2 linked regions of the Anolis sagrei genome follow. The protein of the gene in region 2 interacts with the protein of the main gene of each other region in a pairwise test. Links are inferred from orthologs where the notes say so. Each region holds a gene or a part of one and is shown on either strand. Other genes may lie near its edges.

What was found.
Region 1: the proteins of MARCHF2 (region 2) and FURIN interact in a protein complementation assay, tested with the Homo sapiens proteins (2 studies listed by BioGRID). The link is inferred for Anolis sagrei from reciprocal best matches to the Homo sapiens genes MARCHF2 and FURIN.

The regions. Positions count from the first base shown.
Region 1 is NC_090029.1:22,580,573-22,588,693, reverse strand, and holds the start of FURIN (furin), read right to left. Parts: upstream 3,399-8,121; 5' UTR 3,217-3,398; intron 3,166-3,216; exon of another isoform or gene 3,080-3,165; intron 895-3,079; exon of another isoform or gene 776-894; intron 1-775. UniProt on the Homo sapiens protein: Ubiquitous endoprotease within constitutive secretory pathways capable of cleavage at the RX(K/R)R consensus motif. Mediates processing of TGFB1, an essential step in TGF-beta-1 activation.
Region 2 is NC_090034.1:29,300,875-29,308,762, forward strand, and holds the start of MARCHF2 (E3 ubiquitin-protein ligase MARCHF2), read right to left. Parts: upstream 3,278-7,888; 5' UTR 3,173-3,277; exon of another isoform or gene 3,037-3,172; intron 2,138-3,036; exon of another isoform or gene 2,114-2,137; intron 1-2,113. UniProt on the Homo sapiens protein: E3 ubiquitin-protein ligase that may mediate ubiquitination of TFRC and CD86, and promote their subsequent endocytosis and sorting to lysosomes via multivesicular bodies.

The DNA.
Region 1 (8,121 bases), on a different chromosome or scaffold from region 2:
TGTCCCGTTTGATCAACCAGGAAGGGCAAGGATCTAGAATACATGTGGTAGCTCTCCCCTTTCCAAGGATGCTGTCCACATCCCCAGGCTGCACAAATTGAAAGGTATCCAGCAACACTGGACAAGCAAGAGCCAGATTTACATCCATTGGAACTGTATCAATAACAGAATCCAAGTCAGAACAAATCTGAGTGACTTTATCTGCAAAGAGGCTTGCAAATTCTTCTCAGTGGGCTGATGAATGGTTAGGGATTTCTTCTTAATGACCAGTATGTAATAGCCCCCAACCACTCGAAACAGCTCAGCTGGACAGTTACTTACAGATGCAATGATGGCAGCAAAGAATGATTTCTCTGCTGCCTCCATTGCCGTAGAGTAGGCTTTCAAATATGCTTTAGCGGCAGTGGTTCTCAACCTGTGGGTCCCCAGGTGTTTTGGCCTACAACTCCCAGAAATCCCGGCCAGTTTTCCAGCTGTTAGGATTTCTGGGAGTTGAAGGCCAAAAACATCTGGGGACCGCAGGTTGAGAACCACTGCTCTAGCCCATGCTTTGTGAGATTCACTTCAATTTCTTCACCAATGTCGCTCTAGTCTCAGTCTCAAAAGGGACCCCCAAAGGCATCCAGTCCAACCCCCTTCTGCCTTCATGCAAGAAAAGCACAATCAAAGCACCCCTGACAGATGGCCATCCAGCCTGTGTTCCAAAACCTCCAAAGAAGGAGCTTCTACCAGACTCTGGGGCAAGAAAGTTCCACAGTTGAACATCTTTTCTTACAGTCAGGAAGTTCTTCCTAAAATTCGGATGGAATCTTCTTTCTTGCCATTTGAACCCACTGTTCTAAGTCCTAGACTTCAAGGCAGCAGAAAGGTAGCCCTACTCTGGGAGAGTGAAAGCTCCACTGGCCCCCCCTCCCCCCCCCCCTTTCACGGCAGCCACACAAGGACACACAAGGGGACATTTGCCTCCCTTTATTTGCACAGCCCTGAAGCACTCTGGGAACTTCCATGGAAAGAGGGCACAGACTGTCTGCCTGTGGGATGTCAACAAATATTTGCATATCCACTTTTGCATCATCCTTCTTGGTGGTGAAAAAAAAAAAGAGCCTGGGAAGGGGGGAATCAGGAAAGGTCAAGAGACAGGAGCCCCTCCTCTTTGGTCTCCCCTCCACTGACCCTGCAGCACCCATAGTCCCTTCCTGCCTCCTGCCTTTCTCCTGGCAGAACAAGGGGCGGGGAGGGGGCTCATTGAGGCTGGAGCCCCCCTCCCACCTCTCTCAGCCAGGCTTCAACCCAAGTGCAATAATAATAATTAATGTCAATAACAAGCCCACTCCTCTCTCTCTCAGGCTCCAACTGTGGCACAATAATAATAGTAATCAATAATAATAATAATAAGCCCTCTCCTTTCTCTCTCAGCCAGGTTTTGGCGGCGGTGAAATAATAATAGTAATTATAGTAATTAATAATAATTAATAAAAATGAGCCCTCTCCTCTCTCACAGCCAAGTTCCAACTGGAGCCCAATAATAATAATAATAATAATAATAATAATAATTAATAATAATAATAAATAATAATAACAAATAGCCCCCTCCTCTCTCAGTCAAGCTCCAACTGTGGTGCAATAATAATAGTAATCAGTAATAATAATTAATAAGCCCCTCCTCTCTCTCAGACAGACTCCAAATTCAGCACAATAATGAAAGTAATTAATAATAATAGTAACAACAACAACAATAACAACAACAACAAGTCCCCTCCTCTCTCAGCCAGGCTCTGACTGCAGCACCATAATAATTAATAGCAATAATGAGCCCCCTCCTCTCTCTCTCTCAGCTAGGCTCTGACTGCAATGCAATAATAATAGTAATAAATAATAATAATAATAATAATAATAAGGATCCCCCTTTTCTCTCTCTCAGCTAGGCTCTGACTGTGATGCAATAAGAATAGTAATAAATAATAATAATAATAATAAGGAGCCCACTCCTCTCTCTCTCAGCTAGGCTCTGACTGCGATGCAATAAGAATAGTAATTAATAAATAATAATAATAATAATAATAAGGAGCCCCCTCCTCTCTCTCTCAGCTAGGCTCTGACTGCGATGCAATAATAATAGTAAATAATAATAATAATAATAATAATAAGGAGCCCACTTCTCTCTCTCTCTCTTAGGCTCTGACTGTGATGCAATAATAATAGTAATTAATAAATAATAATAAGGAGCCCCCTCCTCTCTCTCTCAGCTAGGCTCTGACTGCAATGTAATAATAATAGTAATAAATAAATAAATAATGAGCCCCCTCCTCTCTCTCTTAGCTAGGCTCTGACTGCGATGCAATAATAATAGTAATTATTATTATTTAAAAAAAGGATCTCCCTTCTCTATCAACCAGGATCTAACTGCAGTGCAATAATAATAATAATAAAGAATAAGGAGCTTCCTCCTCTGTTTCTCAACCAGGCTCTGACTGAAGTGAAATAATAGTAATAGTTAATAATAATAACAACAAGGAGCCTCCTCCTTTATCTCAGTGAGGCTCTGACTACGGCCCAATAATAATAATAGCAATTACTAATACTACTAATAATAAGTAGCCTCCTCTTCTCTCTCTCAGCCAGGCTCCAACTACAGTACAATAATAATAATAATAATAATAATGAATAAGGAGCCCCCTCCTCTGTTTCTCAGGCAGGCTCTGACTACAGTGAAATAATAGTCATAATTAATAATAACAACAACAACAACAACGAGCTCCCTCCTTTCTCTCAGCCAGGCTCTGATTACAACCCAATAATAATAATAGCAATTACTACTAATAATAATAATAATCCCCCTCCTCTTTCTCAGCCAGGCTCCGACTGCGGCCCAATAATAATGATAGTAATTACTAATTAATAATAATAATAATAAGGAGCCTCCTCTTCTCTCTTTCAGCCAGGTTCCGACTGCGGCCCAATAATAATAATAATAATAACAATAATAATATCCAATACAACAGGCAGCAGAGTGTCTGCTGTGGACTCATCTTGTTGTGTTTCTAATAATAATAATAATAATAATAATAATAATAATAACTTTGTGCTCCGTAGAATCCAGGCCCAGCCTCAGGCCTGCTTTGAGAGGAGAGGAAGCCTTCCTGTCTTCCTTCCGGGTGTTTTCCAGGAAAAGGCCTGCCTGAGGAGGAAGAAGAAGGCCTTCCTGGCGACCCTCACCTTCCGCCTTCCGGGATTGGGCGCCCCACTGCTCCTGCTGCTGCTCCCTTCCCCGCTGCCTCCGCCTTCCCTGCCTCAGCCTCCTCCCTGCGGCGGGTGCCTGCTCCGCCGACCCGCGGGCCCTTTATGGGCGGCGGCGGCGGATCAGCGTCATCGTCGTCATCATCATCGGGATGCCCTGCCAGGAGTGGACGGAGGCGCCCCCGGATGACGTCACGAGGGGCGGGGCTTCCGGCTCCTGATTCCAGGCAGGGTCTCTTGAAGGAAGTCCCGCCCCTTCCCACAGCTGCTCCTGTATAGACAGTGTAGACCAGGCCTGAGCCAACTCGGGCCCTCCCTCTAGGTGCTTTGGACTTCAACTCCCATCATTCCTAACAGCCTCAGGCCCCTTCCTTTTCCCACTCAGCCGCTTAAGCGGCTGAGGGGGAAAAGGAAAGGGCCTGAGGCTGTTAGGAACGATGGGAGTTGAAGTCCAAAGCACCTGGAAGGAGGGCTCAAGTTGGTTCAGGCCTATTCTAGCCTCATATCAAGTCTCAGGGTCAAGGGGGTCTTGCAAAGGCCATTCCAAGGTGGGTTAGGGGCAAAGAGGGACTTCCTGTCCTGCAGCAAGACCTGCCCCTTGAAACTGGCACCTTTAAGGAGGGTTGAAAGCTTCCAGTGGAGGGTGGTGTAATTTACACTGCTTAGCCGGTATTGCACCACCTGACATCCGCCAGGAAGTAGCAGCCAATAGTGAAAGGACCAAGGCAGAGACATCTCCAGCTCATCCCCTGTTTAGGTATCAGCCAGCACGTCAACGACTTAAATCAAGACATAATTTTCTTAGATCTACAGAGACAATCACTGGAACACCCCAGCAAGCGAGAGTCCAAAGGTGGCAGGTCCAAACCCAGTACCTCAATCCATGGGTGATACCAGATGAGAGACTCTCCCCTGGGCACACAGAAGACTGGGCGACTTGGAAAGCACTGAACAGACTGCGCTCTGGCACCACGAGATGCAGAGCCAATCTCAAGAAATGGGACTACAGGGTGGAATCCTCGGCATGCGAGTGTGGAGAAGAACAAACCACTGACCACCTGCTGCAATGCACCCTGAGCCCTGCAACATGCACAATGGAAGACCTTCTTGCGGCAACCCCAGAGGCACTCCAAGTGGCCAGATACTGGTCAAAGGACATTTAACCAACTACCAAAATTGCAAAATCTGTGGGGTTTTTTTCTTTTTCTTTTTAATCTGTGTGTTTGTTTTGCTCTGTTAGAATTGTAATATAATGGTATGGTTGATGATGACACGATAAATAAAAAATAGTGGAGGGTGGTTCCACAGGCAAGAAGGCCTTCCTCTCTTCGGGGGTTTTATTTATTATTTCCAGTATTTCTACACCGTTGTTCTCAACCCCCGAAGGGGGACTCAGGACAGCTTACACTTGGCACGATTTGATGCCGTGAAATATAACAAAACAATATAACATTAGCTAAACATCAGCTAAAACATTACCCTGGTCATTCCACAGGTATATAAACCCATTTTTCCTACTTCCAACAGACCTCACTACCTCTGAGGATGCTTGCCATAGATGCAGGCTAAACGTCAGGAGAAAAATTGCCTCCAGAACATGGCCATATAGCCTGGAAAAACCTACAACAACCCAATATAACAACAAATAAAACAATAAATAGATCATTAATTAAAACAATAGTAACAGTATTAACCGCCGTCTTCTTCTTCTTCTTAGGCGATCCCTCGTAGTCCGAGGATGATGGTCCTCCAAGTGTAGTGTCCTGGCGGTGGGTTCATAGGTGACTGTGGAGCCCTATTCTTGATCTGCAGCTTCTCCCGCAGTGAGGGCATTGGTTTCCAGGTGGAAGGCGGTCTCGGACGGGGTTGGCTTGACATGCCTTCCTCTTGGCATGTTTCTCTCTTTCGCCCTCTTTCGCCCTCCATCTTCAAATTCTACAGCACTGCTGGTCACAGCTGACCTCCAGCAGGAGCGCTCAAGAGACAGGGCTTCCCAGTTCTCAGTGTCTATGCCAAAGTTTTTAAGGTTGGCTTTGAGCCCATCTTTAAATTTCTTTTCCTGCCCACAAACATTCCATTTTCCGTTCTTGAGTTCGGAGTAGAGCAACTGCTTTGGGAGAAGGTGGTCAGGCATCCGGACAACGTGGTCGGTCCAGTGGAGTTGATGGCGAAGGAGCGTCGCTTCAATGCTGGTGGTCTTTGCTTCTTCCAGCACACTGACGTTTGTCCGCTTGTCTTCCCAAGAGGTTTGCAGGATTTTCTGGAGGCAGCGCTGATGGAATCGTTCCAGGAGTTGCATGTGACATCTGTAGACAGTCCACGTTTCACAGGCGTATAGCAGGGTTGGGAGGACAATAGCTTTATAAACTTTGGTCTCCCTACGGATGTCCCGGTGCTCAAACAACCTTACTACCTCTGAGGATGCTTGCCATAGATGCAGGCGAAATGTCAGGAGAGAATGCCTCTAGACCATGGCCATATAGCCCAAAAAACCCTACAACAACCCAGTGATTCCGGCCATGAAAGCCTTCGACAATACATTAAATCTCTGCTTCATTTGGAAAAATGCTGCACTCACAGAGCTCAGGTGGTGTTGTATTTCAGTATCAATGTTGACTTTTGTGGAGAGGTGGATGTCAAGGGAGTGGAAATTGTGAGAATCTGGACAACGTGGCCGGTCCAGTGGAGTTGATGGAGTTAACCGCCGTATCACCATTCCAGTCAAATTCCATATTCAAAGCGCTAGATATGCCTGCTGTCCAAAAGCCTGGTCCCAGAACCACAACTTCAATTTCTTAAAAGACAAGAGGAATGAAGCTGATCTTACCTCGGTGGGAAGCGAGTTCCACTGGCTGAGGGGGGAAAGGAAAGGACCTGAGGCTGTTAGGAATGATGGAAGTTGAAGTCCAAAGCACCTACAGCTGAGAAGGCCCTGTCTGCCATCCCCACCAGACGTATTTGCAACGCTGGCGAGAGCAAGAGCAGGGTCTCCCCGGATGATCTTAAACTGCAAGGCGGGACGTAGAGGGAGATGCATTCGGACAAGTAAACTGGGCCAGAACCATATAGAGCTTTATAGGTCAAAACCAGCACTTTGAATTGAGTTCAGAAGTGGATCGGCAGCCAGTGGAGCTGACACAGGTTTTCCTGCAAACTGGTGATGCATCAGGCCCTTTGCACACTCAAAAGCGCTCCCTCCTCCCTGGTATATTCCTGGGTATGCCGCAGATGTGGGGGTCAGAAAGAAAAAAAGACCGCCTTCTAAGAAATGAGGACACCATCTCAACCACATCCTGGAAATAACCTGCACAAACCTGCGTGGCTTGCACCACGTCGCAGTGCGTTCCTGCGCATTGAGAAAACCCCCAACTTGTCTTCCTCCATGATGTTATCACAGCAGGAGCCTTCCTGAGCATGACTCACCTAATATAGGCCAGCAAAGTCAGCAGAATGAGGACTTTGCACTGGTTTTAAATGGGGTCAAGGCTCCAGAGTAATGAATTTGTGGCCCCTTCTACACTGCCATATAATCCAGATTATCAAAGCGGATAATCCAGATTATCTGCTTTGAACTGGATTATATGAGTCTGTACTGGCATATAGTGGTGCAGCGGGTTAAACCACCGAGTTTCTGAACTTGCTGATGGAAAGGTCGACAGTTCAAATCTGAGGAGAGGGGGGAGCTCCTGCTGTTAGGTGCAGCTTCTGCCAACCTAGCACTTTGAAAGCATGCAAATATGAGTAGATCAATCGGTACCGCTTCTGTGGGAAGGTAACAACGCTTTAGGCAGTCATGCCAACCGCATGACCTTGGAGGTGTCTACGGACAACGACGGCTCTTCGGCTTAGAACTGGAGATGAGCACCACCACCCCCAGAATGGCTAGAATGGCTTAATGTCGGGGAAAGCTTTACTTATACTGCCATATAAACCACTTCAAAGCAGATAATCTGGATTGTATATAGCAGTATAGATCCAGTCTCAGATTGGCTGTGCTGTGGGCTCTTTGCCTAACCTACTGCAGAACCTGGTCAGTGTGTGCTGCAATATAGATTAGAGTAACTTTATTATCATTGTACATCGTACAACGAAATTAAAAACCATCCCCAATGCACATTGCAATATATGTAGAATTACAAAACAAAAAGACAAATCCTTCCACTATTTCACAGTGGGTTCAAACCATCCTTAGGCTCCAAAGACAAACACAGGCCAGAGGTTGAAGGTAGTAGGGAACATGACATGTTTTATTTTTAAATACTTGCACAATCTAATTGTACAATGGTAGTAAGAGTATACTTTGGAAGCCTCTTTGAGCACTTCATAATCCGCCAGTGATGTTAAATGTCACCTAAGAAGAACGTATCTGACAAAACCAGCTCCGCCAAAGCACTTGGCTCATTGCCCTCCTCCACACACAACTCCTCCTCCTCCTCCGTGGCTTTTCTCACTGTTCTTGCCTTTCCAAAGTTAAACCATAGGTCACTCAGCCATCTGACTTCCTCCCACACACAGCTTAAAATGCAAAAAGCAGGGCAAAACTTTTCAGGGCATCCAAAGGGCTAAAACTGCTATCGTTTAGAAAGTTAGTAATAGGAGTAAGTGTCCCTAATCAACATCCAAAAGGTGAACTGTTCTTCCAAACTTGCAAAAGTTTTAGAACAAAAAGAATTCATTTGATTCTAGATCCAAGCCACAGATCTAACACCTACATCTCATTCTGATCTTTAACCCAAATGCAAGATGGTTCTAAGATAAGTTTGCTTTCCAAGGGGCCAACCTTATTAGAAACTAGGCCAGGCCCTATTTTCAGAATTATGTATGCCAGGGAAAAAAAGGTTTAGGTGAGAATTAGCTTCGAAATGGCAACATCAAAGCTCTGCA
Region 2 (7,888 bases):
AATGGGAATAATAACAATGTGAGCTCAAAGCAGTTCAAGAGGGGTCATTATCACCATCATCATATTATTATTATATGTACATAATGATATAATATATAATACTAGCTGTACCCGGCCACTCATTGGTGTGGCCCTCAGAAAACAGGATTTGCAGACATGAAACAATCTGGGCTAGGGAACTCCTCCCACCAAAGGTAGAAGCCAGGCTTTTAAGTTGCAAGGTTATTCAAAGGTAATCCAGGTGGGCAACTGCAGCATTCACACTTGGCTCAAGTAGAAATAATTTCTTTTTCCCACCCTGAACATTTTACATATCTATAAATAGAAGCCTCTCACAGAATGGGAAAACATCTGTTTGATGCATGGGGAACATCCTTGGAGATGGCGTATTGTCTCACTCCAGAAGCGAATTGTATTCTCTCTAGGTTTGGGAGATAGGAGGTCCCCATAAATGGACAGTATATTTTTATTTTTATAGAATGTCTTTAGCAGTGGTTCTAAACTTTTTTAATGCCATGACCCCGTAATACAATACCTCATGTTGTGGTAACCCCCAACCATAATACTATTTTCGTTGCTACTTCCTAACTGTAATTTTGCTACTGTTCTGAATAGTAATGTAAATATCTGATATGCAAGATGTATTTCTGTTGTTATAAATTGAACATAATTAAAGCATACTAATTAATGACAAAAACAATATCTTTGGGGGAGTATGAACAACAGATGGTGGGATTTTGAGTACCTTCAACTGATTCAGCTCTGATTTCCACAGACCACTGAGACCCCCATGAATGAGAGATCTGAACCACATTTGGCACACAGAACCTCCATGACCAGCAGAAAATACTGGAGGGGTTTGGGAGGAATTCACAGTAATAGGATCCTAGTGTTGCAGTAGACCTCCAAGGGCCATCCAGTCCAGCCTCCCTCTGCCATAAGGGAAAAACACAATCCAAGCACTCCTCTAACAGATGGCCATGGAGACTCTGCTTAAGAATAATAATAATAATAATAATAATAATAGAATCCTGGGGTTGGAGCCCCCGGTGGCTCAGTGGGTTAAAGCACTGAGCTGCTGAGCTTGTTGATCGAAAGGTCGCAGGTTCGATTCCGGGGAGCGGCGTGAGCTTCCACTGTCAGCCCTAGGTTCTGCCAACCTAGCAGTTCGAAAACATGCAAATGTGAGTAGATCAATAGGTACCGCTCCGGCGGGAAGGTAACGGCGCTCCATGCAGTCATGCCGGCCACATGAGCTTGGAGGTGTCTACGGACAACGCTGGCTCTTCGGCTTAGAAATGGAGATGAGCACCACACCCCAGAGTCAGACATGACTGGACTTAATGTCAGGGGACTACCTTTACCTTTACCTTAGGGTAGGGAGACCTCCAAGGGCCATCCAGTCCAGCCTCCCTCTGCCATAAGCGAAAAACACAATCCAAGCACTCCTCTAACAGATGGCCATGGAGACTCTGCTTAAAATGATGATGATAATAATAATAATAATAATAATAGAATCCTAGGGTAGGGAGACCTCCCTCTGCATAAGGGAAAAACACAATCAAAACACCCTTGATAGATGGCCATTTAGACTCTCCTTAATAATGATAATCATAATAATAGAATCTTGGGGTAATCTGGTGGTATGGAAAATAAAGCAATGAGAAGCTGCCAGGGTTTGAAGCTGCACGTGATATTCATGCTGGCCAAAACACTCCAAAAAGCCTCTTGGAAACAGAGGCTGGGTGGCCATCTGTCAGGGGTGCTTTGAATGTGATTTTCCTGCCTTTTGACTGAATGGGGCTGGCCTGGATAGCCCACCTGATTCTATATTCTTCTCTTCCCTTCACCAGTTTCCCCCTTTCTTTCTTTGTTCCTTCCGTTCCTCTTCCATCCCTGCCTCCTTCCCTCCCTTCCTCTGGTTTTCCTTCTTTTCCTTCCATTCATATTCTTCTCTTCTTCCCTCCTTTCCATTTCTTTCCTTTCCTTCCTTCATCCTTTCCTTTCCTTTTTCCTTCCCATCATATTCTTCTGTCCCCTTCACCAGTCTCCCCCTTTCTTTCTTTCTTCCTTTTTCTCTCCTTTCTCTTCCTTCCTCTCACTTTCCTTCTACCTTTCCTTCCATTCATATTCTTCTCTTCTCTTCACCAATCCTTTTCTTCCTTTCTTCTTTCCCTTTCTTCCTTCTGGGGCAGTTTGTAAGGGGTTTTTTTTGGGGGGGGGAGTAAAAGGGGGATGTGGAGCCCAGGTGGGGGCGTTGCTGGTCTTCCCATGGTTCGCATACTCCCATCACCCAACTGGTCCCGGAGGGGGGGGGGGCAGCCGCTCCTGCAGCCAGGCTTGCCTTGCAGTCCTCCGGTCTTGGGAGGAGAGTTGCCTGGTAGCCACTTAGCTGCTGCTGCCGGGGCTTGCCTCCACACCCTCCGTCAGGCCAGGCCCTCTCTCTCCTTCCTTCCTTCCTTCCTTCCTTCCCTCCCTCCCTCCCTCCCTCTTTCCTTTCCTCAATCCCTCCCCTCCCCAAAAGAAAGAGGGCTCTGCCTTCGTGCATGGAAAGGGACTCCACGGCGAGGCTTCTCTTCCCTCACAACAGTTGGTGCATCATTCTCCTCGCGCGCTGGGGAGGGGGGCTTTTGCGCATGTTCTGTAAGGTATTTTTCTTTTGGGGGAGTTTAAAGTTATTTCCCCTTCATTTTCCAAGTTTTTTTATTGAAAGACGTAGATTGGATTAGTATATGATTTGCTGCCAAATTTGGTGTCAATTCGTCCAGTGGTTTTAGAGTTATGTTAATCCCACAAACGAACATTACATTTATATATATATGTATGTATGAATGTGTGTATATATATATATATATAGAGAGAGAGAGAGAGAGAGAGAGAAGATACACGTAATAATGGTTCACGAAGGCCTTGGGGAAGGTCTCCTTCTCTTCCTGAAGCCCCGCCCCCTCTTCCTGAAGGCCCTGTCATTCAAACTTCAAGCCCCGCCCCCTGTGGTCCCTGCGCCCTGCCCCTTCCACCGCAGCCCCGCCTTGCCTGCCCTCCTCCTTCCTTCCTCCTCCGCCTTAGCGTCGAGGCCCGTTCCGCCGCATCCCTCCGCCGGGCTCGAAAGAAGAAGTAGCAAGCCTCCTCCGCCGCCACCGCGGCCGCTTCTGTCAGCAAACGTCCTCACCTGACTGGCAGAGCAGGCCCTTCCCCCTTCCCATCGCCTCGCCCAATCACATCCCACGACAGAGTGGCTGGCAATGGCGTGAGCCAATGATCTGCTCCCAAAAAAGAGAAGCACCGCCTCTTTTTTTCTGAGAGAACTGAGTTTCTGCGCATGCGCAGTATCGGAGAGCCGAAACAACCGCCGTCGTCGCCATGTACCAGCCAATCAGAAGCTTCTGACCGAAAAGGGGGGGGAAAAGAGTCGCGACGGGGTGTGGCCAAACGGAAAGCCCCGCCCCTTTGCTGTCGCTCCGTATGATTTTCAGTGGCATATAAATAATAAATAAAATATACGTCATATAGTAATATAAATAATAAATATAATGTAAATAATAATTATAGCATAATAACGATAATAATTTAATCAAATGTAAATAATAAAACGTAAACAATGTAAATGATAAAATATAAATTAAATATAAATTATGTTAATCATAAATCAAATGTAAATGTAATATTAATGTAATAAATTATTGTTTACATCTTTATATATTATTTACATTTCATTTATTATGATAAATAAAATGTAAAGATAATAATATAAAAATAAATAAGGATGTAAGAATGTGAATTATTTTATTATTTGCCTTCTTATTTATATTTACATTTAATTTGTGATTATGATAAATCATATGTAGATGTATTATATCTTGTATGATTTTATATTTATTATTACTACTTTTATATATATATATCTACTATAATTTTATTATATATTATTATATTTAATATAAGTATCGATTATTATATCAATTATACAGGCTAATCCGATCCTCGATGGCCATCAAGATCGCTCCCAAGCGCAGACTCCAAGGCAGAAAGACAAGGCGCAAAATGAACACCCAAGCCCTTCAGGAGCCCTCCAGACGAGCCCATCTCCAAACAGCACTCAAGAACCATCTACCCACAGAACACCCCGAAAATGTTGAGGAACATTGGAACAAACTGAAGACCTCCATCATCCAAGCCTGCGAAGAAACTATTGGATACCAAGCCAAGAAACATCAAGACTGGTTTGATGAAAATGACATCGAGATCCAACAGCTAATTGACAAGAAAAGGAAAGCCTTCCAAACATGGCAGAGAAACATCAACTGTGCTGCTAAGAAAAAGATCTACGCTAGTGCAAAAGCCGAGGTCCAAAGAAGGACAAGAGAACTCAAGAACATCTGGTGGACAAAGAAGGCTGAAGAAATCCAACACCTGGCAGATACCCATAATGCTCAAGGATTTTTCAAAGCCACAAAGGTCATCTACGGACCAAGAAACCATGGCATACAGCCTCTACGCTCATCAGATGGAACCAAACTCCTGAAGGACCAAAACTCAATTGCACTACGTTGGAAAGAACACTACCAAAGCCTCCTGAACCGCAGCTCCAATGTGGCCGAAGAGGTCCTCTCACAAATCCCGCAACAACAAACCAGGGATGAGCTTGCAGCACCGCCTAGTTTGGAAGAAGTCAGCAATGCCATCAGCCAGCAGAAGAATAACAAAGCCAGCGGACCGGATGGGATCCCTGCTGAAATCTTCAAAGAGGGAGGACCTGAGCTGACACACCAACTCCACCAGCTCATAGAAAAAGTGTGGGTGACCGAGAAAATCCCAGCAGACTTCAAGGATGCCACCATCATCACCCTCTTCAAAAAAGGGGAAAGAACAGACTGCGGAAACTATCGAGGTATCTCCCTTCTAACCTCCGCTGGGAAAATCCTCGCAAGAATCCTTGCAAACCGCCTCCTGCCCCTCTCAGAAGACACCCTCCCAGAATCCCAGAACGGCTTCCGCCCCTCCAGAGGAACCGTGGACATGATCTTCACTGCACGACAGCTCCAAGAAAAATGCAGGGAACAAAACCAACCTCTGTACATGGCATTCATCGACCTTGCCAAGGCATTCGACACAGTGAATCGCAGCGCTCTCTGGACCATCCTCCACAAAATCGGATGCCCTAACAAATTTGTGAACATCCTGCGGCTCCTCCACGATGACATGATGGCAACAGTCTTGGACAGCAATGGCTCCCAAAGTGACCCATTTAAGGTGGAATCGGGTGTCAAACAGGGATGTGTTATTGCCCCAACTCTATTCTCCATCTTCATCGCAATGATACTTCACCTTGTTGATGGGAAGCTTCCCACCGGAGTGGAAATCATCTATCGGACAGATGGCAAGCTGTTTAACCTCAGCAGACTGAAAGCCAAAACCAAAGTTACAACAACATCTGTTATAGAACTCCAGTATGCTGATGACAATGTCGTCTGTGCGCATACAGAAGAAGATCTACAAGCCACTCTAAACACCTTCGCAGAAGCATACACGAAGCTTGGCCTGTCACTGAACATTGAGAAAACCAAGGTGCTCTTCCAGCAGTCACCAGCCAACTCCTCCCCAATGCCAGAGATACAGCTTAATGGTGTAACATTAGAAAATGTTGACCATTTCCGCTACCTTGGCAGCCACCTCTCCACCAAAGTCAACATCGACGCTGAAATACAACACCGCCTGAGCTCCGCAAGTGCAGCATTTTCCCGAATGAAGCAGAGAGTGTTTGAGGACCGGGACATCCGTAGGGAGACCAAGGTGCTTGTCTATAAAGCTATTGTCCTCCCAACCCTGCTATACGCCTGTGAGACGTGGACTGTCTACAGACGTCACATGCAACTCCTGGAACGATTCCATCAGCGCTGCCTCCGGAAAATCCTGCAAATCTCCTGGGAAGACAAGCGGACAAACGTCAGTGTGCTGGAAGAAGCAAAGACCACCAGCATTGAAGCGATGGTCCTCCAACATCAACTCCGCTGGGCTGGCCACGTTGTCCGGATGCCTGACCACCGTCTCCCAAAGCAGTTGCTCTATTCCGAACTTATCAACGGAAAACGGAATGTCGGTGGACAGGAAAAGAGATTTAAAGATGGGCTCAAAGCCAACCTTAAAAACTCTGGCATAGACACTGAGAACTGGGAAGCCCTGGCCCTTGAGCGCTCCAGCTGGAGGTCGGCTGTGACCAGCAGTGCTGCAGAATTCGAGGAGGCACGAGTGGAGGGTGAAAGAGAGAAACGTGCCAGGAGGAAGGCGCGTCAAGCCAACCCCGACCGGGACCGCCTTCCACCTGGAAACCAATGCCCTCACTGCGGAAGAAGGTGCAGAGCAAGAATAGGGCTCCACAGCCACTTACGGACCCACAAGAACATTGGAGGACCATCATACTCGGAAAACGAGGGATCGCCTAAGTAAGTAAGTAAGTAATTATTATATTTATTGTATATCTCTAATATATCTAATTATTAATATTATAGTAGATATAAGATATAATATAATAATAGTAATAATAATAATATGCTGTGGGACTTTCAAATCCAGACTAACAAAGTTTTGGAACACAATACACAAGACATCACGATTGTGGAAAAGAAAAAAGTCTGGATTATTGATGTCGCCATACCAGGTGACAGCCGCATTGAGGAAAAACAACAGGAAAAACTCAGCCGTTATCACGAACTCAAAATCGAACTGCAAAGGCTCTGGCATAAACCAGTATAGGTGGTCCCAGTGGTCATCGGCACACTGGGTACCATGCCAAAAGATCTCAGCCGGCATTTGGAAACAATAAACATTGACAAAATCACAATCTGTCACCTGCAAAAGGCCACCCTACTTGGATCTGCGGACATCTTTCAAAAATACATCACACAGTCCTAGACACTTGGGAAGTGTTCGACTTGTGATTTTGTGATACAAAATCCAGCATATAGATCTTGTTTGCTGTGACATACTGTGTTTTAGTGCAAATAATATATTTATTATTAATAATATTATAGTAGATAGATATAATAGATATATGAATAAAAATATAGAAATAGTAATAATAATATAGATATTATTACACATCTACAATTTATCTATCATTGTAATCAAAAATAAAATGTAAATCTAAATATATACATAGAAAAATGGGGGGGGGGGGTTGCACTGAGGCTTGCCTTCCTTTCCAAATTCGGCGGTACATCCATCCCTCCATCCATCCATCAATCATTTCCAACCAATTTAGTTGCATTTGTCAATCTGCTTTGCTAGAAAGGCAACAGCGACACAACCTTTTTTTAAGTTTGGCAATCTTTATATATATATATAATATTTATATATATTCACAATACATCGTCGTCGTCGTCAGAAGAAGAACCATGCACTAGAACCAAAGTGAGTATTTACAAGGGGAAATTGCACTTTCAACAGAAGCCAAATGGAGAGTACAATCTTATCCAAAGTAAAATCCAAAGCGAAGGGAGAGATGATAGAAAGCACTGCAGGAAATGGGAAGGGGGCACTACAGGGAAGGCGTTAAAATAATAATAATAATCATCATCTAAGCAAGCTACAATTACGCTCAAAGTGTTACCGAAAGAAAACGAGGATTTAGAAGAGTAGCTGGTATTTCTATAGTTAATTCATTCGTCCAAACGAGCTCGAAACCTGTGCAACATTATGTACAGAGCATGAGGTTTGTGGGGGGAAAGATGGGACAAAGCAACATGCAGGACCTGGGTTTCGAAGGAAGGAAGACAGATCGATAGGTTAGGCAGATAGATGTATACAACTGAAGAGGGAGATGGATTGGAGAGATGGATCGATTACATAGGCGGATGGACAGATCAGACCAATGTAGAATATAGATAGA